Linked DNA regions of Alligator mississippiensis. The protein of the gene in region 4 interacts with the protein of the main gene of each other region in a biochemical or structural test. Links are inferred from orthologs where the notes say so. Each region holds a gene or a part of one and is shown on either strand. Other genes may lie near its edges.

Region 1 (7,786 bases), about 160 Mb from region 4:
AACCATCTTTCAGCTGAACCCTGAAGGATTAGGAAAAAGGAATCCTAGGAAATGTAAGGCTTGCTTCTGTAGGGGCAAGGAGCTTTGAGGCCATTGTTAGGAAATTAAAATTTCATTGTGTGCCCCCCAAGTTCTAGTATTGTGAAAGACAATAAATAGTAAGTTCCTATTTACTTTCTCCATGCTGTTCATGGTTTTATAGACCTTTATCACCACCCGCTCAGTCATCTTTTCTCTGTCTTGCCTGTTTAGTCTCTCTTTAGTCTCTCCTTATGCAGAAGCTTCTCTAAGCTACTGATCATCCTTCCTGTCCTTTTCTGTATGTACCTTTCTACTTCTAGGATATCCTTTTGGAGGCAGGGGTACCAGAATAGCATGCAGTATTCACGAATGTGGGCATACCAGAGATTTCTACAGTGACATTTTTTGGTTTGTTTTGGATCCGTTCCTTAATAATTCCCAACATTCTTCTGCTTGCCTTTTTGACTGGGCTGTTTTCAGAGAACTATCCACAGTAATTCCAAGATCTCTTTCCTAAGTATTAACAGCTAATATAGAGCCCCTCATCCTGTATGTGCATCTCAGGTTATTTTTCCCCAGGTGCATCACTTTGCACTTATCAGCATTGATGTCCGTGGCTCTAGGGAAGCATGAAGCAGTTGTAATCAAGGGCAAACCTCCGACTGACTTCACTAGGACAACACCAGGCCTTAAATGTCTAGATGACAGTGCTGTTATTCTTCAGCCAATAGCTCGCACCTATAATTGACAAAGGAAAGCCCTTCTCAGCTGCTTACTACAGTGCAATCATGATTGCACTCAGCTGAGTGAATAAAAAAAGTTCAGTAAAAGAGTCTGTAATTTAAAACCTTGTAGTTTATTTCTCTTGACTTAACAACAGTTTTCACACAACAAGATAAAAAATAGAAACTAACATTCAGCTTCAGCTCTCAGCTACTGGCCTCTGAGATTCTTCCTCCATGGAACTGAATATTGGAATGGAAAACAGAACGTTAGGAGTTTAAATTAGGAATTAATGACAATTCTTCTTACCTTGTTGCCCCTTTTAATTTAGTTTCCATGGAAACAGGACTGGAAAGGCTGCCTGTAGCAAGTCACTAAGAGGAAAAAAAGTCTGCCTTGTCTCTTTTAGCTCTCAAGTACCAGCTGAGCCAGTGAAATTACTAGATTTTTAAATGTTTTCCTTTTTTTTTTTTAACTCTGACTAAGAGTCATGATTTCTTGCTGGACAAGTCTCAGGTTGGACAATTATGTTGGCTACAAGTGTATTTCAGTGATTCAGATTTATATTCCTCTTTTCTAATTAGTAGTTTTATGGTGTATGGCCTGCGGGCCAAATCTGGCGCATGGAGAAATTTATTTAGCCCATAGGGCTGGGCAGCTTTGGTGTCATTTTGATGGTGAGGGTCTTTGCCAGGGTGGTGTGGAGAAGCAGCAGCAGCAGCACCACCACCACATGGGGAATGGGACTGTAGCTATGGTTGTGTGGACTGAGTCAGAAGCCGCTCAAGCTTGGAGTTAAGTTTGGTTAAGATGTCCCCCTGCTGCCAACGTTCCTGACCCCTGGTGTAAGCAACATTTATTAGAATTAATGGCACAAGGTTATCTAAAATTTTATGTGTGTTGAAAAAAATATATCCATCCCCTTTTTTATTTTTTAGGTAGGGACAGGCTTGGTTTGAGTATATGGACTGAGCTAAAACTGTAAGTAAGGAGAACCGGCTCCACCATTCATTCATTTATGTAGTCTTGGAAAATCATATTGGGCTCCAATCTTGCAAGGTACAAGCTCCTCTTACAAACACCTTACTAGTTATAAATTGCTTGTTGTATCACAGTCCCTGATGTTCTGTTCTCTCCTTTAAAATGGAGGAGTCTATCGGGCCAATCCTGCACGATACAGAGCTCTGTTTGAGTGCTGAACACCCTTGATTCTCATTGGCTTTATACAGAAGCATCCACACAAAGGTTTAGACCAGAATAAGTCAAATAGTAAAATACAAATTAGTTCCAGTTTTCAGGTGAATAAATACTTGAAGTCACTTGCAGAATTGTAATGTTTGGGCACCATACTCTGCAGGGACTATTTCTTTGGTAAATACACTTGTCACATTTTGTCTTAATTCAGGGAAACATCTCTCTCATGTTCCAGTGAAAACTTCTAGTAATCGAATCTAAATTTGGGGCTAAAACTGAAAGGGCAGTGCAAGCTTCATTCTAGTCACTTGGCCAGATTGTGTAGACACATGCAGTGATAATGTTACGGTGGTGCACTAGTTCCAGCCCAAGTTCCAGACAGTATGAGAGAACCAGGATTTGTTCTGTAATAGCCTTGATTGTGCCAACTGTATAGTTGGGAGAGATGGTATGTATGCTTTTGGGCACAATATGCCCTTCCTCAAATCATAGGCATTTTGTGCCTTAGAGTTTATCTCGTACTTCTCCTAACTCCCTGGTGCTCAACCTCTGGCCAGATAAGGCCCACAGATACGTTGTTAGGCCTGGCTGCCCTGTGGCCCCCTGCCTGATCTGTCACTTGGATTTTGGATGCCCTGCTCTGACCTGTGGGTCTCTTAATGGTTCCAGAAATTTGGCAGGGAGAGTGTGGTGGCAGCATTAATCGCTGCTTCCCTGTCTCCATTCCTGGAGCTGTAGGGGAGTCCTGTGGTCCAGATAGCGGGGCCCAGTGTATCGGTGCATGGGGGTCACTCTGTGGCTGGATCTGGAGTGTGAAGTCGCTGTCATGCCAGGCAATGGGCAGCCAGGTCTGAGGGTCACCTCAGGCTCAGGAAAAGCCAGAAACTAGATCTGTCCAGGGAACGGAGCTGGGGATCCAGAGAGTCAGGCAGAGCACAAGGACAGGAAGCTAGCTGGGTCAGATGCCTGGGAGGTCAGGCCAGACTTGGGTCTGGTATTGGGGAAGCCAGGAAGAGAGCAAGGGCATGAAGCCGGTTAGGCATCCAGGAGTTCAGGCCAGAGCAGACTAGACTAGACTATCCCCTAGATCAGGGTTGTCAACCAGGGATATGCATACCCCCAGGGGTACCTGAGATGGCCCTAGGGGGTATACATGGGCATGCGGAGATGGAGCACTGCCATGCACCATCCTGCACTGCCTTGCAGGCACCACTTGCCTGGCGACACATGGGGGACAGAGGAAGCTCGCATGTGACGGCTACTGCCGCTCTGTGTCCGGCCGTGCGCCACCCCCACCCCCCTGCTTCCTGTCCAGCTGTGTGCCACCCCCCCCGCCCCACCCCTTGTCCAGCCTCACACCTCCACACCCCACCCATCTCCACACCCAGCCGCCAGGGTACACTGTGGGGCTGTGCGAAGCTTCGGGCGCTGATTCAATTCGGAGGAGATTCGGCTCGATTCAGCAGCCAAATCTCCAAATCCAAACTGAATCCCCCATCCCCAGCCTGCTCCCCCAGCCCTCCTGACCCCTGCCTGCTCCCCCAGCCCCCCCATGGCTTCCCTGCCTGCCCCAGCTCCTGGCCCTTTAAAGAAAAGCCCTAGTGCTCACGGGGTGCTGCCGGGCAAAGGGGCAATCCCCGCTGCCCCCCACTGCCCCACTCTGTATGGGGGGCCGTGCCATGAGCCCCCCCCCAACCCTCCCCGCTCCCCCAGCCCCGCCATGGACACCCCACCAGGCACAGCTCCAGCCCATTAAGAAAAAAAAATGAGAAAAGTCCTGGGACTCTCCGCTCCTACAACGGCCTCTGGGCTTTGGAGGGCTTGTGGAAGAGCCCCCCACGTGGCACGGGGTGCAGTGGGGATCACCCCCCTGCCCAACAGCACCCACTGAGTTGGGGCTTTTTTGTTTCAAGTGCCAGGAGCTGGGGCAGGTGGAGCAGCCATTGCTGGGCTGGGAGAGTGGGCGGCGGATGGGCCTGGCTGATTTAGAGATTCGGCCGAATAGATTCAGGGCAGCGATTTGAATTACCAAATCGAATCACTGTCCCCCAAATTGGCCGAATCCAAATCCGAAGCAAATACTAGCCGCTTTCTTTGCATAGGCCTAGTACACTGCTTGATGTCCAGCCACCAGGGCTACACTGATCAAAACCACTGAAAACCCCTGCCTTAGATCAATGGTTCTCAACCTTTTTTTGTACCAGGACCTATTTGTAAACATTGATGGCCAGTCCTGACCCTGTGCCCCTCACTCCCAACCCACTGCCCCCCCCCAACCCCAGCCCCCCCAGTGTGTGGGGAAGGGGGGCCCCAAGCAGTCCCTTGCAGGCTGGAGCTCTGCCAGCCTGCAAGGGGAAACCCTGCTTCCCAGGCTTTTCTCCTTTCAAAGACAATCCATTTTTAAAGTTTGTTCACAGCCTTCATATATTCTTGCGACCCACTTCGAGGTCATGACTCAGGGGTTGACTGTTCTCACTCGTGACAGGTGACAGAACGAGGGGCAATGGTCTTAAATTGCAGCAAGGGAGGTTTAGGTTGGATATTAGGAAAAACTTGTCTGCCTGTGTCCTTGTCCCAACACCAGAGCCCATCGCCGTGCGGAACAGTGGCTCACAGGGAAAGGGCAGCCCATTCTAGCGGAGCAGAGCAAAGGCCGCCCTCATCCCCTGTGCGGCTTCTGGGTGGGGGCTGGGGGCGGGGCATCAGGACGCACAAGTCCCCTGGCCCCGCCCCGTCTTACGTCACGGCGCCCCCCTGCAGTCACGGCCGGGGAATCCCCGGGAGACTCCTTCCCCCACCCCTCCCCGCTCCACTTTGCTGCAGGCACGGAAAGTTTGGCCGGCGCGGGCCGCCGTAGTCCGGTGAAGTTCCTTCCGGGGTTGCAGACAGCAGCCCTCGCGCGCGTGCGCAGCAGCGGCGGCGGCGTCTCGAGTTTGTCCCGCGCGTCCCCTGCCCCCCCCAGTCGCCGCCGCCATGAGCGACAAGGGGGAGCTGGACCTGACCGGGGCCAAGCAGAACACGGGCATGTGGCTGGTCAAGGTGAGAACCAGCGGGGGCTCTCAGGGCCACTGCGATCCCGGTTCCGGTCCCTGTCCCTGCCCCTGCCCCATCAGCCGCTCGACTTTCGGCTGCCCTGCCTGCTCCCCCTTCCCTCCCCTTTTCCCGATCGGCTGCTCGGCTTTCTCCGCTGGGCTTTTGCCTGGTCTTCTTTGGCCCAATCCGTGCCTCCCGCTGACCCATCGACCGCTCGGCTTTCGGCTGCTTTGTCCTGCCCTGCGTCCCCCGCCCGATCCGCTGCTCTGTCCCTGCCTCGTGTTCCCCTTCCCTGATCTGTTGCTCGACTTTCGGCTGTTCTGCCCTGGCGGTCCCCCAGTCCCGTCTCGTTCCCCCCCTCCCCCTCCCCGCGATCAGACACTCAGTTTTCGGCTACTCTGCCTTGCCCTGTGTCCTCCTGTCTGGATCCTGGTTTTCTCTGATTGAAAAAACAATCCCCATTTTTTGGATTTAAAGTAACCCAAAATCCACTTTTTTCCCTGATTAGCATGAACCATCACTATGTTTGTGTGTGCATATAAATAAAGGTATAGAAATATCCAGAGAGAGAGAGAGAGATCCATATAGATATATGGATATAAGTGATGCTTCATTTTAATTATGAAAAAATGTGGATTTTTTTGTGTTACATTTTTAATTCCAAAAATTGGGGATTTGTTTTAAATCGGAGAAAACGAGGATCCCTGCTGATCAGCCACTTGGCTTTCAGTGCGCTGCCTGGCACCCCCTGCCCCCTCCCCTGATCTGCCTGTGTCCTTTGTGTTGCACCCCCACCACCCGCTTTGATGGTGCTGAGCTATGGTAGATGTGCTGCAGCCTTGTAATCTTAAAACTTTTTTTAGGCAAGTCAACCTTAGGGAGCTCGTCATTTTTACCAGTGCTGTTTTACACAGGCTAGAACAGCGTTTCTCAACCCATGGGTTGCGACTCAGAAGTGGATCTCAATAATATATGAAAGGGTCATGGGCACACTTTAAAAATAGATACTTCTTTAAAGGAGAAAAACATGGCAAATGGTGGCTTTTCTGTTGCAGGCTGGCAATTTCCTCAAATATCACCTCCTGCTCCACACACTGTGGGGCTGGGACCTGGAGACAGAGGTAGTGGGCCGATAGTGAGGGGCCCTGGGCTGGGACTGGCCATTGATATGTGTTTAAAAATGAGTCCTGCTACAAAAAAGGCTGAGAACCACCTGGCTAGAAGGTGGCATGATGGTCAAAACACACAAGTCCTGTTACATTTTCTACTATTGCTGAATTGGATGTGAATTACAGAGCTAGCATTTGCTAAAATCGAGGAACTGTAGCAGTGAGCACCTGGCTTTGTCTTAGGTGTGCTTAGTGTTTGAACTGTATATGAAACTCGGAGGGAAGACTTCTGTAACTAATTTCCCCCACATAAGAATCACAAAGTTAGATGGTATCTAATGATGTTTTGGCAAACACCTGTCACACTAAGCTAAAAGAGTCTCTGGAAATAAGACAATGCTTTCATAGTTGGTAGGTCTGGAAGGGACCTGAGCAGATCATCAAGTCTGACCCCCTGCTATGGGCGGGAAAGGATCCTGGAGTCAAATGACCCCAGCAAGGTGTCTAGCCTCCTTTTAAAGACCCCCAGGTTAGAAGCAAGCACCACTTCCATTGGAAGTTGGTTCCACATTGTAGCTGTCCTGACTGTGAAGTTGTGCCTCCTGATATCTAGCCTGAATCTACTCTCTGTCAACTTATGGCTGTTATTCCTTGTTACTCCCAGTAATGCTCAGGGGAACAGGGACTCTCCCATTGCCTGCTGGTCTCCCTTGGCCAGTTTATAGATGGCCACCAGATCTCCTCTCAGCCTTCTCTTGTGGAGGCTGAACAGGTTCAGGTCTCGTAGCCTCTCCTCATAGGGCCTGCCCTGCTGCACCCCGATCATGTGAGTGGCCTTCCTCTGGACCCTCTTGATGCTGTCCATATCCCTCCTGAAGTGCGGCGCCCAGAACTTAACGCAGTACTCCAACTGTGGCCTGACCAATGTCATATAGAGGAGGAGGATCACCTCCTTGGACCTGGTCGTGATATATCTGTGGATGCATGACAAGGCGCAGTTAGGCTTCCTGACTGCATCCCTACATTGGCAACCCATGTTCATCTTGGAGTCTATAGTGACTTCAAGATCCTTCTCTGCCTCTGTGCTGACAAGAAGGGAATTCCCCAGCATGTAGGTATGCTGTTGGTTCTTTCTCCCTAGGTGCAGTACCCTGCACTTGGGATTCAATACTGACATCTTATTCCGATCTGCCCACCTCTGCAACCTGTTCAGATCCAGTTGCAGCCTGTCCCTCCCTTCTAGCGTGCCCTCTTCTTCCCACATCTTAGTGTCATCTGCAAATTTGAACAAGGTGCTTTTCACCCCCTTGTCCAAGTTGCTGATGAAGATGTTGAACAGTGCGGGCCCAAGGACTGAGCCCCGGGGTACCCCATTGCCCACATCCCTCCATGTCGAAAATGACCTATCCACCACCACTCTCTGGGTGCGGCCTTCCAGCCAATTGGTGACCCATTTGACTGTGTAGGCATCAACATCACAATCTCCTAATTTTTTAACAAGAATGGGGTGAGAGACAGTGTCGAACGCCTTCCTAAAGTCCAGAAATACTACGTCCACCATGACACCTGCATCCAAGGATTTTGTGACCTGGTCATAGAAGGCCACCAGGTTGGTCTGACAGGACCTGCCTCTAATGAACCCATGTTGGTTGCCCCTAAGCATACACTCCCCTGCTTGCCTCTCGCAGATGTACACCTGGATAATA
Region 2 (7,498 bases), on a different chromosome or scaffold from region 4:
GAGTAGAGGGGCCTAGATACCTGGGGGGGCAGGGGCTGGGACCCCACATACCTGGGTTCCTGATTGGCGGGGGGTGCAAGGGGGGTAGACAACACAAGTTATGACACTGATTATTTAACAAGCTTTTCTGTTCTCAGGGCTAAGGCCCCATAAATGCCACCTTTGCCCTACAGCCCTGGGTTCAACTTGTGGACCAGGGGGAACAGGTAGGGAGGAGGCACCCACAGACAACCCAGGGGCTGGGGCCTGGGCACCCCCCCCACCAGCTGCTCCCAGAGAGCCCAGGCATCCAGGTCTCCAGCCCCCTGCTCTCACTCCTCAGCCCCTCCCACCCCAGAGAACCCAGGAGTCCGGGGTCTAGGAGCTCCAGGTGCTGTGGCCTTGAGCTGTGACCTGCCATCAAGGCCTTGGCTCGATCGATTGGGGCAGGGACCAGGGGTTTCCTGTGGAACCCAGGCATCTGGGTCTGCTCAGGTCCTGGTTACAGGGTGGAGCAGCCCCTTGAACCCTGCCCCCAGGCCCAGGGGGTGGGGGGGTGCTATCTGCACATGCAGAACGCAGGCGTCCAGGACATGCCCCAACCTGGTGGCACAGACACACATGTGGGCCCCACAGGTCCAGGACACATGCGTGTGGCCTAGCCCTCACTATCATGCTTGTGTCTGTGTCCCTAGGTCAACCCCAACCCCCTCAGGAGTCCTGGAGGCCCCCAGCCCTTTTGGCACCGAAGCAGCCCCGGATGCCTGGGTTCTCTCCCCACTCTGGCTCCTCCATTCCCAGCCTGGGAGGGACCCTCCCATCGCCACCCACCCCCTCCCCTCAGTACCCTCACAGAGACCCTGCTGCCGACCACAGCCCTCCCCCACCTCAGTGCTGCACCGCAGCCCTCCCCCCCCCCCCCCCCAAGAGAGGCAGAACAGCTCAATTCTATGGTGTTTATTTGCCGCTCAGACACCTGGGGGGTGAGAGCAGAGGGGCTGGGGGCCCAGATGCCTGGGTCCTTCTGCCATCACCCCTCTGCCCCCCCAGGCTCTTTGGCACCCCCCCCATCCCCCCGCAGTACACGGAAGGGGGCACCATGTCCAGGTACCACCACATCGGCGAAGCCGAGCACCCACTGGCGGCTGTGCTCCTGCCGCGCTGGGTCCTCGCTCAGCCCTTGCCAGGAATCCTCATCCCCATGCCGCTCGAACAGGTCCCCAGCCACCACCACAGTGCCCAGCATTGTGCCCCGCACCACCACACTGGTGTGGGCGGCCACGTGGCCCGGTGTGGCCACCACTTCCACGTGCCCAGGGTCCAGGGCATGCGGCCGACCCTCCACCAGCCCCACAGGCAGGTACTGGTCAGCGCCTGGCGCGCTGCGGTCGAAGCCCACGAGCAGCTCGGCCGCAGGGAAGAGGTTGAGGTTGCCAGCATGGTCTGAGTGGCCATGGGTGCAGACCACGTGCTTGATGTCAGCTGGTGCCAGACCCTCACCCACCAGCGCTGCCAGGAGCCGCTCGCGACCCCACGGGCCCCCTGTGTCCACCAACATGGGGAGCGGTCCCCGCAGCAGCGTCACTGTCCCGTCAGCCCGCGCACCACCATCCGGCGTGGGCTGGTGGTAGCCCTCCTGCAGCACCACCACCGTGTAAGGGCTGCCCATGATCCGCCGTGTGCCCAGCAGCGCCGTGCGCACTGAGGGTGCAGCCCCGGGGTCGGTCATGGGGGGCTGCGGGTCACGGAAGGAGGGTGGAGGCGTGGGGGAGTCAAGGGTGCAGGCCCCAGAGGTCAAAGGCTGCAGATGGATGAGACCCCTCCAGAAGCTGGAGGTCAGGGTTCCCGGCTCAGCAGATCAGAGAGGATCCCGAGGTGGATTCATGGGGGCAAGGCCTGCAGAGGTCACAGCTGGGCTGTCGTCCAGTAGGCTTGAGTAGAAGGGGCTCAAGGGACAAGGCCGCTGGAGGTCCAAGGTGACAGGGTCGTAGGTGTCTGTATGCGACTGTAACAGCACAGGAGATTAGAGTTCAAGGGTCATGTAGCTTGCTTAGGTTGGAGATCAAAGAGTGCCATGGGGGGGGGGGGCAGGGGTGAGCTTGCCGGCGCCCAAAGCAGCCCCTACATGGTCCGGACCGCCCCTAGGGTGTCCCCGAACAGTCCTGCCCCGCTCCCCCGCTTCAATGGTCTCACTCCTTTACCCCCCCCGCCCGTCACTGAATGGTTTCACCCAATACCCCGGGGGTCCTCCATCCCTTAACGGGTCCCTTTAATGGTCTGTCCCTCCCCCCCTACAATTACCGCCACGATGGTCTCGCCCAGCAGCGGAGCCCGCACACCAGAGGTACGGTCCGGGGGGGGGGGCACTCATCCTCCTCGGAAGTGACCTATAGGCGCGCCTCCTCTATACCCCGCACTGGGTGCTGCCATCTTGGAAATGGCGGCCTTCACGTAGTGGGGGCTGCCATTTTGGAAGCAGCCAATGAACGGGCGGCGGCGAGGGATAAAAAGCTTCCCAGGGGTTTTCGCGGGGCTGACCTGCGTTTTCCTTAAAGGAAGAGGGAGGGGATTTGGGAGAAGAGGTCTGAGCTGTCTCTCGCCGCTAGGGTGTGGCCTGGAAATGCCCTGTTGCCCCCAACCCTAGACATCCCTAACACAGCCACGAAGGGGTTAAAACACATGGGCTTTAATGTGGTGCCACTCGCTCCCTCCACGTGGGGAGGGGCTGGTGCTGCACCTGGGCGGGGGCAGATAGCCCCCGCCCCCCCCCCTCCCCAATAGTGCACAACCTCCTCCCACTTGCTCAGAGCTCGCTGGGGTCATGCTGCGGGCGGCATCTGTGTCTTCCTCCTCCTCCTGGTTCCCGTGGTCCCCTTTGCTCCTGGTCCAGACCTCGTCCAAGCAGGCTACAGGCAGGAAGGCCGGGGGCAAGCCCCCACAATGCAGCTGAGTCTGGGGCATAGCCAGCACCAGCACTAGGGCAGGCAGGGGCTGCGGGTCCGGCAGGGCAGGGGGTTGTTTACCCACGTCCCTGGCCCCCGGCACATGGCCCTCGCAGAGGAACTTCCTCAGCAGCCGCTTCTGGTGTTGGAAGTACCAGTCCTCCAGCGGCTCCTCATAGCACTCCAGCATCACCTCGCACTGCAGGGGGGGCTCACAGAAGCTGTAAGAGCCCCCCTCCCTGGGCCTCCACTCCTGGCCCACAGCCCCTGCCCCACCAGCCCTGCCAGGGCCCCCACTGCCAACCCACAGCCCCCCACTAGGCCTGACCTGCTGCTTCAGCTGAGTGACCTCCACCGAGGGCTCATCCCACAGCTCTGGGGGGGACGCCCCGGTCCACCTTCACCCCCTTGTGCACCAGGTTGCGCAGGGTGCTCATGGTCTGGCTCTGGCTCTGGCCCTGGGGAAGGGGTTGGGAAGGTCTGAGGCGCCAGGGAGGGAACCCAGGCCCCGCTGCCCTCGCAGAAGGGGGAAACCGGCTGACCTTAGCGTAGCGCAGGCTCCCAGGGCACTCGGTGTGGATGCTGTATTGCAGCAGCCACTCACAGACACTCTCCAGCGCCTCGGCCAGATGCGTCTTCCTGGGGCAGGAGAAAGAAAAAGGGGGCAAGGAGCTGGGGAGAGGCAGACCTAGAAGGGGGGGGGGAACCCCACTGGAACTTTTCAGGGTCCTGCCCCTCCCCCCACCAAGGCCCCTGTCCCTGAGCCAGGAGGGAACCCAGGTGCCCGCGCTCCCGTTGCGCTCACCCCTGAGGAGCCCCGGCGTCCCGATGGCACTCGCAAGACGCTGTAGCGGACACCGACCCGAGTCCAGCACCTCTGCAGAGCGGGCGCTGCTGGCCAGCACTGCCTCCAGCTCCAGGCTCAGATACTTGCAGTCTGCGAAAGGCAGCGGTCAGAACCCTCGCCAGCACCCCTGCCCGGCCGGCATCCACCCCGCGGGGCCTGCCCTCCAGCTCTGCCCCCTCTGCCCAGGCCATAGAGGGCGTATGGACCATCTGTAATGCCCTATGGGGCCTCTCCTCCTGCCCAGGTCTGTATAGCCCCATATGGACTGCCTTTAGCACCCTATGGGGCCTCCCCTCCAGTCCAGGTCCATACTTTCGTATCAGACCCAGTGGCCTGTGACACTGCCCAGCCCCGCCTACCAGGCCCTATAGACCTGTATGGACCACAGCAGCTCCCCTCCCTGTGCATGCAGTGGAGGCCCCTGCTCTGCTGCCACAGCCTGGCATATGTCCCCCGCCCCTTATAGCCGCTGCCTGGTCCCTATAGCCGCATATGGCACCTTTAAGTGCCCCGCCTCTTTACCTTCACACAGGGTGGGCGCCCCCGCCCGTGCCCCGAACAACAGCGCCAACAGAGGGAGCCCCAGCGCCCCCATGGCAACTCTGGAAAATGCGGCCCCTTTAAGAGGGAGCTGGCATCGAGCATGCGCACTCTCAGCCACAGAAGGGTGAAGCAGAGTGCATGCGGAGAACTGCGGGCAAGGAACGTAGGGTAGAGAGTGACAAATGGAGCATTACGCATGCGCAGCGATAGTGATGAGGCTTCAACTGGTAGGATGGCGCATGCGTAGTGAGGTTTTGGTTCCTACAGTTGCTTTGTGCGTGCGCAGTGTGGCTGCAAGTCCTGGCAGGGTGGTAGTGAGCGGCGAGTCGCTGGGGGCGGGGCTAGGACGGCGGCGGGGCGCGAGGCGCCCGCGTGAGCTTGGGGGCGCCCTGTGCGTGGGGGGGCAGCTCCTGGGGGTGAGGGTCACATGGGGGGAGGGTGGTGACGTGGGGGGTTTCCATAGAGGGAGGGGAGTCCCTGGGGGTGGGATCATGTGGGGGGGTTCCTATGGAGGGAGGAGAGTGACGTGGGAGGGGGTTCCTGTGGGGTGGGGGGGACCTGGGGGGGGCACCCTAGGATGGGGATCCCCGAGGGGTGGGGGAACCCCCGGGCAAGGGCAGCTCTGGGGGTCCCTGCACCCCCCCAACATGGCCCTGTGCCCCCCAGGTGCCCCCCCCCGGCAGGATGGCGGAGGAGAAGAAGCCAAAGCTGAGCCAGACGCTGCTGCCTGGTGACTCCATGAAGGTGGTGGCCGAGTCCATGGGGCTGGCGCAGGTGCCTGAGGAGGCTGCACAGCTGCTGGCTGACGAGGTCAGCTACCGTCTCAAGGAGATTGCACAGGTACCTTTGCTTCCCCCCCCCCACCCCTTACACCTCACCCCACACCCCAGAGCCAGCTGCCTCCAGCCCTGTGAGTGCCTAACCCCCCCTGTCTGCACCTCCCCAGGACGCCGTGAAGTTCATGCACATGGGGCGGCGCCGCAAGCTGACAACCAGCGACATCGACTATGCACTCAAGCTCAAGAACGTGGAGGTGCCGGGGGACAGCCTCAGGGCTGACGGGGGTGCCCTGGGGGCGGTGCTCGGTGCCCCCAGCTGACCCCCAACCCCTGCCCCTGCCTTGCAGCCGCTGTATGGGTTCCAGGCACAAGAGTTCCTGCCTTTCCGCTTCGCCAGTGGAGGTGGGCGCGAGCTCTACTTCTATGACGAGCGCGAGGTTGAGCTCAGTGACATCATCAACACACCGCTGCCCCGCGTGCCCCTGGACGTGTGCCTCAAGGGTGAGCCCTGGCCCCCAACCCCTGGCCCCCCCGACCTAGAGCTCCTCTGACCCTATCCATTTGTCCATCTCTCCGCAGCTCATTGGCTCAGCATCGAGGGCGTCCAGCCGGCCATCCCTGAGAACCCACCCCCCGGTGAGTCAAGGACCCAGGCATCTGGGAGAACCCCCCTTCCACTTCTCAATACCCTCCCCACCTGCCTTGTACTGACCTAGATGCACAGATGTGGCTAACAAGGGGTTAACAGGCCCTGTTCTATTCAGTCAACATCCCGCCTCAGAGCCAGCTGCATCAGGCCCCATTCTGCCCACCGCAGAGTTGGCTGCATCCAGGCCTCATTCTACCCAGCCTGGTGCCCACCCCAGAGCCAGCCGCACCCATTACACCCAGAGAATGTTTCATCCCAGAGCCAGCTGCATTTGTTACTCCCAGGCAACATCCCACCCCAGAGCCAGCCTCACACCGATTTCCAATCCCCCTTCCCCCACAGCCCCCAAGGAACAGCAGAAGACCGAGGCCACAGAGCCCCTGAAGGCCGCAAAGCCGGGGCAGGACGACGATGGGGCCCTGAAGGGCAAGGGCCAGAGCGCAGCCGCCCCCGACGCCAAGGGTCAGTGCGAGGGACCCGGGAACGGGAGGCACAGCATGGGCAAGGCCTGGCTGACCCTGCCCCCTGCTCCCCAGGCAAAGAGAAGAAGGGAGGGTTGCTGGAGGGCGCGGCACTGCGCCTGAAGCCGCGCAGCATCCACGAGCTCTCAGTGGAGCAGCAGCTTTACTACAAGGAGATCACAGAGGCCTGCGTGGGTTCCTGCGAGGCTAAGCGTGCTGTGAGTGCTCCCCCCTGGATCCCTGGACCCCGTCCCCGGGGCCCAGGACCACCCCCAGCCTGACTGTGCTCCCCCAGGAGGCCCTGCAGAGCATCGCCACAGACCCTGGGCTCTACCAGATGCTGCCACGCTTCAGCACCTTCATCTCCGAGGGGGTGAGTGTGGGCTGTTTCACCCCAAAGCTGGGTGCATTGGGCATGGGTCAGCCCAGCATCCACCCCAGAGCCGGCTGCCTTTGGGGTGGTCTGTTATATCCAGTCTGTAACGCCCCAGCCCAGAGGTGGCTTCATGTCAGCTCTCTGTTATACTGTGCTGTCAACATCTCACCCCAGAGGTGGCTGTCTTTCAGTTGTTTGTTATATTTGGCTGTTAATGTTGCACCCCAGCCAGCTGCATCTCGGCTTTCTGTTATACTGGGTTGTCATTGTTTCACCCCAGACATGGTTGTTTGCATTTCAGGTTTCTGTTCTACACAGCCCCTGATGCTGCCCCCAGAGCCAGCTGCCTTTGGGGGGGGGCCCTGTTATACCCTGCAACACCTGTACTGCAGAGCCTGCTGCATCTCAGCTCTCTGTTATACTTGGCTGTCGCTGCTTTACCCCAGAGGTGGCTGTATTTCAGCTGCTTGTTATACTTGGTTGTTAATGTTGCACCCCAGAGCCAGCCACAGTGGGGATTGGTTTACCCAGTGTCTGCCTCGGAGACAGCTGTCTTTGGCTGTCCCTGTTATCCATTCTGCAGCACCCCCCCACCCACTCCAGAGCCACCTGCATCTCAGCACTCTCTTATACTTGGCTACCCCTGATGCTCCCCAGCCCAAAACCGCTGCCTTTGGAGGTTCCTGTTATACCCAGGCCCCAGAACCCCCACTGCACAGGTGGCTGAATCTCAGCTGCTGGTTATACTGGGCTGTTAATGCTTCACCCCATAGATGGCTGCATGTCAGGTCCCTGTTATATGCAGCCCCTTATGCTCCTCTTCAGAGCCAACTGCCTTTGGGGGTTCTTGGTATATTCAGCCCACAACACCCCACCCCAGAGATAATTGCATTTAAGGTGCTTGTTATTACCAGCCTGAAAC
Region 3 (7,546 bases), on a different chromosome or scaffold from region 4:
TTTTTTTTTCTAAGTAGTTGCAGCATCCAGAGCAGTTTGATGCATTTTGATCCTTACTATTTTTTTAAATAACACTGACCTAGTAGCAAGTAGATTTCTCTATGGTTTGCTGATACTCAAAAATGCTAACGTGTGAAATGATTATATAAACCCTATTCCTCCCCAGGGGATACGGAATACGCAGTGAAGTACGATTTCTTAACTCAAACTCCTCCATTTTGCATTGTTATTCAGATACTTATAACAAAGAGTTAGCTTCCGGGGCTTGTAGAAAAGAGTTGCCTTGCATATACAGATAGCTCTCCTGTACTACAGAGTTTAGAAATCAGCCTTTGCGTAAAATTAAGCAGTTGATTTTGAAGGTCTACCCTTTCTTGCAATCTCTGATAATGACCTCGTCGCCACAGAAGTCCTTTGCCCTTAGCTAAGCGGGGAGGGTCACTGCCTACTGGAATGTGTTTTGCATATATAATGTTCAGCGTTAAAGAGCTTTTTAATACACTGCAGTAAGCATTGGCACGTTGAATGCTGTAGTGTTAAATAATATACTGTTAAAAGAAACAAAGCAGCAAGGACACTTTCAATTCAGACAAACCAATCTGATGTATATGTCCTAACTAGTCTTCTCTGGGTCAAGAACCATGACATTCAATTCTTTTGGTCCCACCCCAGGGTGTTCAGCAGGTCTTCAGAGGCAGAGTTCTTGGGCTGCGTAGTGCTCCTACCACCTAGCCAAACTCTGAGTCTGAGCTAGTGGCACTGACACTAGACGCTGAAACTGCCCCTGAAATTCAGATTTAATTCCGTCTCTACCCCTTACTGGAAAGTAAGACGGCAGCCTGCTGTCTAGATCAACACCCTCTGCTGAGATGATGGTTGTTGAGTTAGTTGGCAGGTGGAGCAGAATATCTGCTGTGATCTTCTATGTGTTGTGTGCGCTTGTGCACAAGAACGGGGGATCGGTGTACTTCCGTTGGAATCGCAGTGCAGCGGGAAGTGGACAGCGGTCTGCAGTAGTTGCCACGTGGTAATTCTTACTGCTGCAGAAAAGTCGGAGCCTGTTGTAACCTGCTGTTTCACATTTGCTTCTGTTTCAGGAGCGTAGGTTGTACCGTGGTAGAAATGCTCACTGAGAAACCCCCGTGGGCAGAGTTTGAAGCAATGGCTGCCATATTTAAAATTGGCACCGAGCCAACAAACCCACAGCTGCCACATGACGTCTCGCACCACGCTCAGGATTTCCTGAAGTGGATTTTTATTGAGGCCAAGCTGCGACCATCTGCAGATGAACTGCTAAGGCACACATTTGCACATTATCACTGACAGCCTGCCTCAGCCCAGCTTGCATCTACTGCATTTATTTTCTAAGAAAGCAGACAAGAGTAGAAAAACCTGCTGCCAAGACTTCTGAGAAGACTCCAGGCAAGAGCCCTTCAAAAAGTCCAGCAAAGTCACCTCAAAGAAGTCCTTCCAGATCAATACGATTGCTATTTACAATATAAGTACATTTAATGTAGCTATATTACTCATCTATAATTGATTGAGTACATAATTCTGGGGTATTTTTGGGTAAGATAGGGCATCAGGCCTGGGTTCAGGAACCAATCCCCCATTTATAACATTGTTTCTTGTGAGAAAATTGGTTCTGAGTTGCAATGTTTCGACTTAAAACGTGGTTTTCAGGAACCAATTTTGTCCTAAGTCCAAGGACCGCCTGCATTTAGAAGAAGGATCTTTTCCCCCCTACCAGGACCAGAACCGTTTTATTTCTACCGTGTACTGATGTGGTCGTATTACAGATCCCCACCAGGCCTGTGTGAAAGGGTTATGTTTCGTTTTGATTTTGGCGTTTCGGAGGGACAGTGATTCATTTCGGTGTTTTGGATCACTGTCTCGTTTCGGCTCAGCTGAATCAGTTGTGGAGTTTCAAGGGTGTTTTGGCCATAGGCTATAATGGGGAATCACGAACATGCCTGTAACCTTGTCATTTCTTGTCTGATTCAGATGAAAATCGCAGGGATGCTAGCCCCTTCTGAGGGCATGAAGGGAGGTAGGTGCAGGGTTTTTTTGTGAAACTGCACCTCAAACTGTTCAAATCAAAACTAGTATCAGTTGTTGGCAGTGGCAGCCTGCTGTCATCCCGCACGCGGATTCGGGGTCTCGCCTTCCCCCCCGCAAGAGTCTGACAGCCCCCGCATCTTTCTGGAGGGACGCGGGTCTCTGGATCTGTGTGCAGGATGACGGCAGGCTGCTGCTGCTGGCTGAGGCCAGCACCGGTACTCGGCCCTTCCTGGCACTCGGCGCAGGATGCACCAAACAGACTCAAGTGCTGATATTGGTCTCAGCCGGCAGCGGCAGCCTGCCGTCATCTACACGCTCCACAGCCAGTGGATCTTTTGTTAGACCAGTAGTTGGAAAAGTATTTATGAACTTGTTTTTTAAGATACTATGTTTAGCTGGTATAATTATAGTTTCATAGTAGCTAGGGTCAGGAGGGACCTGACCAGATCACCTAGCCTGACCCCCTGCCACAGGCAGGAATGAACGCTGGGTTCACAAGACCCCAGACAGGTGATCGTCCAACCTCCTCTTGAATTTGCCCAAGGTAGGGGCGAGGACCACTTCCCTGGGAAGTTGGTTCCAGATTTTGGCCACCCTAACTGTAAAATATTGCTTTCTGCTCTCCAACCTAAACCTATCCTCCATCAGCTTGTGACCACTGTTCCTCGTCACCCCAGGTGGTGCTGGGGAGAAAAGGGCTCTGCCTATTTGCTGTTGATCCCCCTGATGAGTTTGTAGGCAGCCACCAGGTCCCCCCTTAGCTTCCTCTTGTGGAGGCTGAACAGGTCCAGGTCCCTCCATCTCTCCTCGTAGGGCCTGTCCTGCTGCCCCTGATCATGCAGGTGGCCTCCTCTGAACCCTCTCCATGCTGTCCACATCCCTCCTGAAGTGCGGCGCCCAGAACTGGACGCAGTACTCAGCTGCGGCCTGACCAGTGTCGCATAGAGGGGGAGCATCACCTCTCTGGACCGGCTTGAGATGCACCTTTGGATGCATGACAAGGTCTGGCTGGCCTTGCTGGCTGCGGTCTGGCATTGGCGGCTCATGTTCATCTTGGAGTCAGTAATGACTCCGAGATCCCTCTGTGCTTTCAAGAGGGGAACTCCCCAGCCTGTATTAAATACATAAAAGCTTTGAAAGATAATTTACTAGATAAGTATATTTTCAGCTGGCTGATGATCAGAAACTATTTTTTTAATTTTGTTTTTAACCATTCAGAATGTATTTGTATTTCCAAGAGTGGACACACGTTGTTGTATTGTATTTTCAGGTACCCCTTGGATGGACAACTGTGATTTCTTTTGTATGAATTTTTGTAATAAAAAGTGCTGAATCCATCAGAGAAAGGGGCTCTGAATTGCCTGGTACGATGTGGTTTCTTCCACATTTCATGCACATTTTGACTTGGTTATGATCTCAAATTTGTGCTTGTAAAAATGTATAAACTTTTTTTTGTTTTTTTAATTCCTATGTATTTACCCATTTTATTTTGTTTGGGAGGTTTTGTACCTCATGTCAAGGAAGCCACGTTTCCATTTTGTTTGACCAGTGACTATCTGAGATCCGTGTGTTGTGGGGGCGCAGCCTCGTCGCGGCTGACGGCGCGTGGAGACCTGCAGGAATTAGCACGAGGGAAGATGGCTTTTTCTTCCTTCCACCTCCATTCATTTCAGAAAGGTCCCGGGGCTGTGGTTTGGGGGATGCGACTGAACAAACCGCCGAACGACGACGGATAACGGCACTCCGAGCGTTCGTAAAACAATACTTCTTTCCAGTAGACTCCCCTTCCTTTATTGGGTGACGGTTTTTCAAGAAAACCAATTTTTCACCACGTCTTGTCCTGGGCCGCGCCGCGCCGCGCCGCCGTCCCAAGGAGGGGAGCGGAAAGGGGCTGCGCAGGACGCGGGAGCCTTTTCTGAGCTGTCACCCGTGAAGTCAGCGCGGCGGGGGCTGTGTTTGCATGTGTACAACACAGGCGCGCCCCGTTCGCGAGGCAGGAAGCAACGCTCTTCTGGCGGGACGAAGCCAGACTCGCGGCAGGCGTGACCCCCTTCCCTTCGCGCAACGAGCTGTTTGCAAACCAGCATCCCTGATGCGTTGGGGGGTTTGTCAACTGGAGGTGCCAGGTCCCGGCTGCACCCACGGCGCAGGGCGTCGCAGCAGGGTCTGCAAGGATGTGGGACGGGGGGTTTTCCATTTCTGCGCTGCTCAAGTGCCTGCTGAAACCTCACCGGTGCCGGCCAGCCCCCCCCGCAGCTCTCCTGATTGGACGGGACCCCCTCCCAGGCGCAGAAACAGCTCGTATCGTATTTCTTGCACAGAGCGCGCACTCCCGTTTCCACGTGCGCGTCGCGTGCAAGAATGCGGTAATTCCAGCGAGGAGACGTCAGCCGCTGGGAACGGGGCGGGGCGGGGCGGGGCCGCCTTCGGCGCAGGCGCGGTGCGCGCCGCTTCCGCCTTCCGGGGCTCCCGGAAGTGACGCGCCGGAGGAGCGGGGCGCGATGGCGGCGGGGCGCTGAGGGGCGGCGGACATGGGCCGCAGGGAGCGCGGTGCGTGAGTGTGTAATGACAGCGTGCGCGCGTCAAAGACAATGTGTGTGAAAGGGTGTGCGTGTGAACAAGCGCGTGCCTGCGTGTGTGTGAGAGTGCACGCGCACGTGCCCATGTCTGAATGAGACGGAGGTGCGAGGCGCGTGCGGGTGCCGTCGCGCTGTGTCTGTGTCTGCGTGCGCGCGCGCGCACGCACACCCCTGTGTCTCCTGCCGCGCCTCTCCTGACCCTCCTGGCCTTTGCTTGCAGACAGGAAGAAGTCCAAGAAGCGTCACTACGACGACGAGGACGATGAGGACGATGACGCTCCCGGCAAGGAGTCGCAGGAAGCCGTCCCGTCGGCGGCGGGGAAGCAGGTGGAAGAGGCCGTGGTCAAAGACGAGTACGGCGCGAAGGATTACCGGCTGCAGATGCTGCTCAAGGGCGACCACGGCTCGCGCCCGCTCTGGGTGGTGAGCGCCGCCGGGCAGCCGGCTTCCTCCTCCTGTTTTGTGGCGGCGGGGCGCGGTGTCGTGTCCGGGGTAACTCTACGAACGGCTTTTAAACCGGGGGGTGGTTTGGGTCATCCTGAACGAGGGGCTGACGGAGGTCGCGCGGCGCGCTGGGAGGGGCTGCGCTTTCCTTCCCAGGCGAGGGTCGAGAGCGAATGATTTGGGGTTCGTAAAAGCAGTCGCTTGATTCCCTGCGTTGGGGAGAGCCGTCCTGTTCGACAGGCTCTCTACAAAGGGAGGTGCGTTACGTGGAACCGGTCAGCGGGTAAGATGAACGTGGTCTCGCTTTTAACCTTGGTTTGCGTCCGTCCGCGTGGAGCGCTCTTCGCGGCTGGTCTGACCCTCGCCCGCCCTTGCTGCTAGCTATGGAGCAGCGCTTGCCGTTGCACCGCGAACCGCTCGTACTCGGGATAGAAAGGGATCTCCGTCTTTCACCCGCAGCATTATCCAGTTGGCATCTTTTTCGTCTTCTCTCTCAGGCTCCCGACGGCCACATTTTCCTTGAAGCCTTTTCTCCCGTTTACAAATACGCGCAGGACTTTTTGGTCGCTATCGCAGAACCCGTGTGTCGACCAAGCCACATACACGAGTACAAGCTGACTGCGTACTCGCTTTATGCCGCTGTCAGTGTCGGTCTGCAGACGAGCGACATCACGGAGTATTTGCAGAAGCTGAGCAAGACCGGCGTCCCCGATGGAATAGTGCAGTTTATCAAGGTAAGGCCACGACTCGTTTCCCCTTTTCTATCTATTATTCGCTGCTGTGTAAATACAGGTATTACCTTTTTTAAAGTAGGTTTGATGCAGTCTCTGACACAAGAATGCATGTGTACACACACACACACACACACACACACACGTGCACACCGTGAGGCATAAAATGGCAAGTATCTTGCTGGGATCCTATGACCCCAGCTGACTTCCTGCCCCTTGGGTGGGGGGCTGGACTCGATGATCTTCCGAGGTCCCTTCCAGCCTTAATGTCTATGAAGTCTGAAATCTATGAAGTAAAAAGGTCAGATCCTGTAGCCACTGCTCATATGAATAACTTAACCAAGGTCAGTATAACCGTCTGGCCCACGGCGTGGAATCATCCTTGCTGTGGGCAATAACCCTTCACCCTGGCAGAAACCACAAAGCTGAACTATTAAATGACATCTCGAGTCATTAAATGACAAAGCTGAACTATTAAATGACATCTCGAGTCGTTAAATGACAAAGCCGAACCAATAAATGACTTCTGTTTGAGTGCTCAGTGCGATTGAAGAGCAGCGGTAAGACTGTACTGTTAAAATCAGTACAAAGTCATGCCAAAGCGCAGGTTTCAGCGGGTGCATCGACACGTCTCTGGTGCACGCTCTTTGTGCGTTTTGAAAAATATTTTTTAATCGGCAGCAATATCGTAAGGTAAGATGCATGTAGACCAAAAAAGCAGTAGAAAATAGTCAATCGGGAATTAGGAACATTAATATAAAAAAGCTTTACAATAAGCAGGAATAAGTGGCAGAAATAATGGTTGTTCAGTTAACCTTATTATCAGTCTTAGGTTTGCATTAATGAAGCAGGATGCAGTTAAATTCTGATATTATGACACGATAATGCTATAATTGATTTGCTGGAGATAGTCCTCTGGGGGAGAGAGGCCTTTTTTCCTTCAGTGGGAACTTAACATTTGTAGATTATCGCAGACCAAAGCCAGAACTGGACTTCAGTGACTCTTTCATGATTCCTTTTTCTCCTTTTCTGTGAACTATATGGTACTGAAGTGATCTTTGTGCCTTGATCTCTGCTGCTCCTACATTGAGAATGTCCTTTCTATGTGAGCTGACGTCTTTTTCAAGCCCCATGTGTTATCTGATGCGTGCAAAAAATTGCCCAACTAATGATTTACATGTTGAGGCCAACGTATTTGACAGATCTCAATACATAGTCACCTTTTCACTTGTTCATCATTAGAGCATCTAGTCTCTGTGGGCAGCATCTACTCAATAGCTTTAATGGAGGTGTTTGCATTACCTTCTGCTTTGTGAATAGGGCAGCAGCACCCGCCTGCTGGTCCTGCAAGGATTGTTTTTAATTAGAGCAGGCATGATCAGACCTGTTATCAGCCAAGGACACAGCCTCTCTGGGTGCTGGCTTTAGGGCAGAAGTTCCTGGAGGACATCATGGGAGTGGTGTTGTGGTTTATGGACGAGCTGCTAATTGAACAGGCTGCCACAGATGCTAGACACGCAGGAAGCTGGGACTGCTGATCTAGGATCCTGACTGCTAGAGCCTGGGACACCCGAGTTCCCTGCTCTTCCTAAATTGGGGGTGTGAAGGCTTTCTCAGATTTCCCAAAGCACCTGCTTTTTGCAATTAAGTAAGTTAGAATTTAACCCAGAGTGGGATGCAAAACCCCTTGGAGAGCTCTTGTCTTTGCTAGTCAGCTGGAGCATGCTGCAT
Region 4 (7,068 bases):
ATTCAGAATTGACCACTTACCAAAAAGTAATAAGGATAATATCCTAGTGAGTATATATTAACTGTCACTGTGCTGTGATGCTTTGAAAGACAGATGTATCTTGGCTTCTGTAGCTGGTGACATTGTAAAGCTTAATTTGTGTAAGTAAAAATATTCAGTCTAGAGTAATAATATTTTTTTCTTAGCACTTTTCCCCCAAAGGATTCTAAAGTTTAACAGCAATGAAATGAACCTGACTTTGGGGTGGAGAGGGTCTGTCAGCTCATCACAGATAAATGAAAGAAGAGGAAATTTTACCTAAGGATGTTAGCTAAATTAAGCTATTCTTTAAGAAAACACCAGTGGTCATTTAATATTCATGAAAAATACCCAAGACTTTGGTATTTAAAAATATCATTCAAAAGACCACTCAAAACTTAATTATAGACATCTGAAAAGTGAAGGCCCAAACTAGTTCTGAATCAGATTTAAACTTGTGACCCAGAAAGCAGTGACCACAACATCAGAAATAACAACAGGAACAACACTGCAAGTCCAGAAGTTCACTTACTCGCACATCCACTGAGCAGCCCACAGTCCAAGATGGATTTCCCAACACCTGATTTTGGCACAACAGATGAACAAGTGAAGATTTCCCAACACCTGAAAGCAAACATATATTTAATTTGCATGATAGACAACACAGATCCTTACATTTGCCATTAACACCATATTTTTTGTAGGGGTGCACAGATATATTGGTCCGATATCGGATTGGTACCGATATAAAGAAAATTGGCTGTATCGGAAATCGGCCCGATGCAGCTGATAATTTGGTCGATAAATGCCAATGTGTGTGTGTAGCTGCAGCGCAGCACTCAGGCAACAAGGAGCACAGCGCAGCAGCATGGAGAGCTGCCTCCAGCTGGTAAGTTTCTTGTGGTGGAAGGGGCATTGGGGGGGGGGGGGGGGGGCGGGTGTTCTGCCACCACCACACACCTGGCACAGCCCTGGCTCAATGCCCAGCCTCCACCCATGTGCTGGGAAGGGCCGGGGCTGCACCAGGTGTGCGGTGGCACTGGGAGGGGGCTAAAGCGAAATTTGGGGTGGCTGTAGCCCCCTCCATAGCTCCCAACCCAAGCCCAGCCCTCGGTGAGAAGAGCCCAGAACAGCCTCAACTCCTGCCCGCAGGTGCAGTCCATCTGCCCTGCCCCATGCAGACCCAGGGGGCACAGGCTCCACCCCTCCGTGCCCTCCCAGGGTGCACACAGCAGTGGGAGCACCCCCCCAACAAGCCATGGCTCTGCCCCATGCCCTGTCCCAGCTGGGCAGAGGCTGCCCCTGCCCCCTCCCTCACCATGGGCATTGATCTGCACCCCCCACGCCCCTTCCCTCCCCTGCTCCCCTTCCACCACAACAGACTTACCAGCCGGAGGCAACTCTCTACACCGTATAGGAAATCTAATTGGTATTGGCTGATATGCCTCCTTAAAAATTGGATATTGGTATCGGACCCAGAAATCTCTATCGATGCACCCCTAACTTTTTGGTATGCCGTTACTAACATACCAAAAAATGGCACTACAATAATTAGTGGGTTCAAGCGATACTATTAAACCCAACATTTAAATGAATGTTCCAGCATGCAATTGCCTTAAAGAAGGTACTGATGATGGGTATGTGAGAAATACAAAAAGAGCTAACAGCATGCTGACTTTAGTTGGAAGGGTTGTATGAGGCCCATCATTTACAGAACATAAGAACTATCATTTACTGGTCAGCCCATACATCTATCTTGCCCAGTATCCTGTGTTACACAGCAAGGACTGCAGAGCCTCTTTCCTGTCCCTGGTCCAATCTCATCTCCAGGCAGAGTATCGCTGGGTACTGTCCACTGGAGCCTTGGACTTGTTTGAAGGCCAGTGGGCACTGTCTGGTGTGCTCTGCTGGGTGTCCCTCTTTGGCACACTAGCTTTAAACCTTTGATCTCACTCCTATCCCTGTTATGTCTTTAGTTGTCCCCAAAAAACAGTTGTTGCCTACCTACTGGCCTTCCTCTCTAAGGGACGCTTACAGTGTTTCTTTGAGGGTACTGCCCCATGTTCCCTAGGCAACAAGTAAGCTTGTTACACAGCAGGGATGGCAGAGTGACTTTCCTGTCCCTAGTGCAATCCCATCTCCAGGCAGAATATCACTAGGCAGTGCCCACTGGCTCCTTGGACTTGTCTGAGGGCCAATGGGTATTGTCCGGTATGCTCTGCTCAGTGTCCCCCCTTGCCACACTAGTTATTAACCTTTGACCACTCTCATTCCTGTTGTCTTTAGTTGTCCCAAGCAATTAGGTGCTGCCTTTCCAGTAGACTCTACGTTTAAGGGAGGCTAATAGTTTATTTGGTGGGAAATGCCCCATGTATCTTCTAAGGCAGCAAATAGACCTTTGTCACATAGGCAGAGGGGAGGCTGAAAGGGAGAGTGAACAAGGTGTGACTAGGGGTTTTCCCATCGCTCTCTGCTACTTGCGTCCTCCACCATTTAGGTTGTATGTCTTATTAAGTTGAAACATGGCTTATCCACCGTTATGACTGCTGCATCTAGTTTGGGGCACTACACAGGAAGAAAAGCACAGCTGAATTGCAAGGACCATGCAAGACAACTAAAGAAGTAAGTGGGCTGGCAAGGACTAAACGAGAGAAGAGTGGCAAGATGAGGGCAAGCCCCTTCAAGGAGCTGTTTTGCTGAGAGGAGGAGATGGTGACAGGTTACCCCTGAAGTATCTAAAGCCATGGCCCTCAACCTTCCCAGGCTCAAGGCCTCCCAGGAAAATGACAGCATTCAGGTCTCGCTCAATTTTGGGAAAAAAAGGAATACACAGAGGTTGTTTTAAACTGCAAGACAGAAGAGGGCGAAAACTAGATTCTACTACGCTCCTGCTTTGGATCATGTTTAAGTAGAAATGCTATCATTTCTAGCATTTAAGCTCCTTAAAGAAGTACACAACAGATCCCTTCTCCTAATGTTTCATACCAAACTGTCTCTTAATACCAGAGCTTCTGGATCAAATACAAAGGTTAGGGAAATGTCAAGTTATATCCTGTCTTTTTTAACTCTCCATTTAGGTATCATTTTAGTGCATGACTTAACCAACAAAAAGTCCTCTCAAAACTTGTATCGCTGGTCACTGGAAGCCCTCAACGGGGATGTGGCTCCAATGGGAGTTCTTGTGACAAACAGGTGAGTGTACAAACACACACACAGCCCTAAATATGCACGTGGGGTCATTGTTCATCTCTGGTCATTGCTCAGAGCACTCACAGAAGTGCCGTTTCTGTTGCACGTGTGGAGCAGGCCTGGCTGTTGCTGGGCTCTCCAGGAGTTTGACAGTGGCCTGGGTTTAGAAGAACATGTCCACGTGCTTGTCATGCCATGCTTCTCAGGCCGCAGGAAAATGACTTCACTCCCTGGTGCCCCAAAGGAGAGGTCGGCAACCTATGGCCCACAGACTTCGTCAGTCTTGCATAGGCCCAGTCCTCCAGAGCATGGGGGATGGGTTCCCGAACGAGGCTGAGCTAACTAGAGCCCGCCCCCCCCCCCCCCCGGGGGGGAGGTCCACAAAGAGGCCCAGAGCCACCTAGAGCGCCCCTCGCCCAGCGCCCCGCCCCCGCATCTACGCCCCGAGCGTGAATCGCAGCTATGGGTTCTACACCAGCTCCGCCCCCTGCTCACGTCACCGTGTGCGTCACTGCGCCCCCCTCCCCCGCCACCAATGCCCGGCGCGGGGGAGAAGGGTCCGGTACCTGCGCAGGCCTAGGGTGATAACGGGAACTCCCCCCCCAACTACTCACCGGAATCCCCCAGCACCAGCACCTTGACCCTGTCCAAAGCAGCCATCTTAGCCTGCCTAGCAACAGCCACTCAGCACGCCGCCCAATTGCGAGCTAACTCTCCACCCATTGGCTCCGCCTCTTCCGCTTTCCATTCGCCGAGGCGGGGAGGGGGCGGGATCAAAGGTGGCTATCACAGATAGCGATTGGTTCCCTCCTCCTGTCCACCCAGGATGGCGGGTGGGCGGACCTCTCCCTCTACCGTTGGCGTGCCGAATAGGCGCTTGCGTCACAGCCGTGCGACACCGCCCGCGTGCGCGGCTAGGAATTTGTGACGTGCATTGCCGGAGACGGGGGGCGCCAAGCACCACCCGGAGCCGGCAGGTCAGTCCCGCGCGCGCGGCGCCAGGCTCTCCGCTCCCGGCCTCCTGCCAGCTACTGCGCAGGCGCACCCGGAGCTTGCCCCTCCCGCCGGGCAGCGGCGGGGTCGAGGTCCGGGTCCGGCATCACGTGCCTGGCGCATGGGCCTCCCCGGCGGGCCGCACGGACCGCCCACGTGGGCGCGGGGTGGTGTCCCTCGGGCCCGTCTCCCCAGCCGCTCGAGGGGGGCAGCTGAGGAGCCAGTGGGGGGCGGAGGGGAGCGTGTCCGTTGGCAGCTGTGGGGAGAGGGGCCGAGGCGGCGCGGAGTAGTTGGGCATCTGCCTGGCCCCCGCCCCCACGCACTCTGCTCTGTGCCAGCACTGCTCGTCTGGGCCACCGTTGCCCTGGGGTGCTGCTGCTCCCTGCACAGAAACCGGGAAGGAGCCTCAGGTCCAGCCTTGCAGCTAGGGCAATCCTGGAGGCTTTTATCTTATGCAGCAGGGGGCGCGAGAGGAGCCAAGGGCAGTCCTCCTGCACTGGCTGCGGGTGCATGGGGATATTGTCCTTCTGGTCATAGACAGTAGGTCATAGTTAAACCATGTGGGCTGGAAGGGACTTCAGTAGGTCATCTAGTCCAAAGTCCTGCTCAAAGCAGGACCAGCCCTAACTAGATCATCCCAGCCAAGGCTTTGTCGAGCTGGGTCTTAAAAACTTCTAAGGATGGAGCTTCTACCACCTCTATGGGGAACCTGTTCCAGCGCTTTGCCACCGTCCTACTGAGAAAATTCTTCCTAATAGCTAACCTGAACTTCCCTTGCTGCAACTTGAGACCATTGCTCCTTGTTCTGTTGTCTGCCTAATATCTAACCCAGCGGTTTTCAACCTTTTTTGTACCAGCACCCATTTGTAAACATTGATGGCCAGTCCTGACCCAGTGCCCCCAGGCCCAAGCTCCCCAGTGTGTAGGGCAATGGGGGGCCCCAAGCAGCTCCTCGCAGGCTGGATATCTGACAGCCTGCAAGGGAAAACCCAGCGTTTCCTACATTTGTCTCCGTTTTAAAAGTTTGTTGATCCGTTTTTAAAGTTTGTTTGCAACCCTTTCATATATTCTTGCAGCCCACTTTTGGATCGTCACCCACAGGTCGAGAAACACTGATCTAACCTAAACAATCAAGAGCAGTTACCTACAGCAGAGAATACACAGGCATGCTTGCTCCTGGGTTGTCAAGGTCTGAGGCCTCTTGGGATCCCTCTTGGTGGTCTGAGGCAAGCTCTGGCCTTCCATCCCTGTGCGTTTGTGTGGAGGAGATGTAGACCATTTAGGGTCAAATGTCTGTAATTGCTGCATAAGGATCTCTTGGCTAGTTGTGGCTTGGCTTGGCTTGGCTTTGTCAGCAGTGAGTGTGCATCTCTGCCTTGCGTGTCCAGGTTCCCTTGAAAATATCCCTCAACATCTGCCTTCTTACGTACTACTTGTAGCATCATAGGAAATAGGGGTTGGAAGGGACCTCAGGAGGTCATCTAGTCCAACTCCCTGCTCAAAGCAGGGCTAGGGTTGTCACAGGGGTAGGCAATGTTTTTTGGCCGGAGTACTGAAAAACACCACAATGCCTACCTCGGAAGGTGCCGGCGTGCTGGCATGGCAGAAAAACAAAATGAGGGTAAGGGGTACATGGCAGGATGCCCTGGTTGTGCCCCTTGCCCCCCTCACCCAAAGCCCCTGCCCCCCCAGCCCTGCTGCCCCTTGCCCCCCAGCCTGGGCTCTGTGGCTGCCAGCAGCTACCCTGGCTCTGGGTAGCTGCTGGAGCCCGGGCTGCTCCCAGCAGGGCTTGCAGTGTCCCAGATGTCTGCTGGGAGCAGCCTGGGCTCCTGACTGACAGCAGCTCCCCAGACCCGGGAGGCTCCAAACAGCTTGTGCCAGGCTTTGGCATCAGCTCCACACCAGCACTTGCACCTGCATGTCAGAGTGGGCGATGGGGGAGGAGCCTGAGGCAGCTCAGCCCTGGTCTCCCGCTCCCGGCACAGAGGTAATAGCAGGGTTCCAGAGCTCTGCGCAACTGTTTGTAGCCAGCCTGGGCTCTGGGCAGCTGCAGCAAGCAGCAGGCAGGCTGCAAACAGCTGCGCCGTGCTCTACAGCTCCGGCATTAGCTCCGTGCTGGCAGTGACTGCATGCAGATCTCGGGGTGGGCTGCACTGCCCCGCTGTCTGCCCTGAGGTGCATGTGTAGTCACCACCAGCACAGAGCTGATGCCAGAGCTGTAGAGCCTGGCGTAGCTGTTTGCAGCCTGCTTGCTGCAGCCGCCCAGAGCCTGGGCTGGCTACAAACAGCTGTGTCAAGCTCCGTGCCGAGAGTGGGGGAGAGACTGGGGCTGCACTGCCTCAGGCCCCTCCCACCGCCCACTCCGACGCGTGGGTGCACGCGCCAGTGCAAAGCTGATGCCAGAGCCCGGCACGGCTGTGGGGAGCTGCTGCCAGTCGGGAGACTGGGCTGCTCGCAGCAGGCAGCTGGGATGCTGCAGCCCTGCTGGGAGCAGCCTGGGCCGGAGCTGGGGCTGGCTGTGGTGTGCCATGCTTGGCATAAGTGCCAGGGGTTGCTGACCCCTGGGTTACCATATGTCCAGTTCCAAAAAAGAGGACACCTGTCAGGGGGACACCTCACTCCCCATCCACTGCCCCCTGGCCCTGCCAGTACCCCTCAATCCTGACCTACAGCCCCCAACCTTGCTGCTGACCCACAATTCCCTCCCCCACCCTCCTGGTCATGCCAGTGCTCTTCACACTCAACCCGTGACCCTTTGGTGCTGCCAGTGCCCCACAGCCAACCCAAAAGCCACCCTACCCTATGCTCTCACTTCCAAGCCACAGTGTCCCGTCCCGTCCTCTCCTGTTCCATTCCTCCCCCCACCCC

What was found.
Region 1: the proteins of GTF2E1 (region 4) and GTF2F2 form a complex in vitro, tested with the Homo sapiens proteins (2 studies listed by BioGRID). The link is inferred for Alligator mississippiensis from reciprocal best matches to the Homo sapiens genes GTF2E1 and GTF2F2.
Region 2: the proteins of GTF2E1 (region 4) and TAF6 form a complex in vitro, tested with the Homo sapiens proteins (2 studies listed by BioGRID). The link is inferred for Alligator mississippiensis from reciprocal best matches to the Homo sapiens genes GTF2E1 and TAF6.
Region 3: the proteins of GTF2E1 (region 4) and ERCC3 form a complex in vitro, tested with the Homo sapiens proteins (2 studies listed by BioGRID). The link is inferred for Alligator mississippiensis from reciprocal best matches to the Homo sapiens genes GTF2E1 and ERCC3.

The regions. Positions count from the first base shown.
Region 1 is NC_081824.1:410,989,518-410,997,303, forward strand, and holds the start of GTF2F2 (general transcription factor IIF subunit 2), read left to right. Parts: upstream 1-4,774; 5' UTR 4,775-4,911; coding exon 4,912-4,977; intron 4,978-7,786. UniProt on the Homo sapiens protein: TFIIF is a general transcription initiation factor that binds to RNA polymerase II and helps to recruit it to the initiation complex in collaboration with TFIIB.
Region 2 is NC_081838.1:23,522,698-23,530,195, forward strand, and holds the start of TAF6 (transcription initiation factor TFIID subunit 6), read left to right. Parts: upstream 1-4,493; coding exon 4,494-4,727; intron 4,728-4,977; coding exon 4,978-5,151; intron 5,152-5,257; coding exon 5,258-5,344; intron 5,345-5,437; coding exon 5,438-5,591; intron 5,592-5,669; coding exon 5,670-5,726; intron 5,727-6,081; coding exon 6,082-6,201; intron 6,202-6,275; coding exon 6,276-6,418; intron 6,419-6,495; coding exon 6,496-6,573; intron 6,574-7,498. Other genes in the region: MBLAC1 (metallo-beta-lactamase domain-containing protein 1), read right to left, coding at 1,484-1,708. UniProt on the Homo sapiens protein: The TFIID basal transcription factor complex plays a major role in the initiation of RNA polymerase II (Pol II)-dependent transcription.
Region 3 is NC_081827.1:252,041,149-252,048,694, reverse strand, and holds the start of ERCC3 (general transcription and DNA repair factor IIH helicase subunit XPB), read left to right. Parts: upstream 1-4,531; 5' UTR 4,532-4,592; coding exon 4,593-4,611; intron 4,612-4,860; coding exon 4,861-5,132; intron 5,133-5,581; coding exon 5,582-5,818; intron 5,819-7,546. Other genes in the region: uncharacterized protein LOC132250420, read left to right, coding at 1,098-1,323. UniProt on the Homo sapiens protein: ATP-dependent 3'-5' DNA helicase/translocase. Binds dsDNA rather than ssDNA, unzipping it in a translocase rather than classical helicase activity. Component of the general transcription and DNA repair factor IIH (TFIIH) core complex.
Region 4 is NC_081824.1:253,467,884-253,474,951, forward strand, and holds the start of GTF2E1 (general transcription factor IIE subunit 1), read left to right. Parts: upstream 1-4,066; 5' UTR 4,067-4,184; intron 4,185-7,068. Other genes in the region: RABL3 (rab-like protein 3), read right to left, coding at 551-642, 3,822-3,867.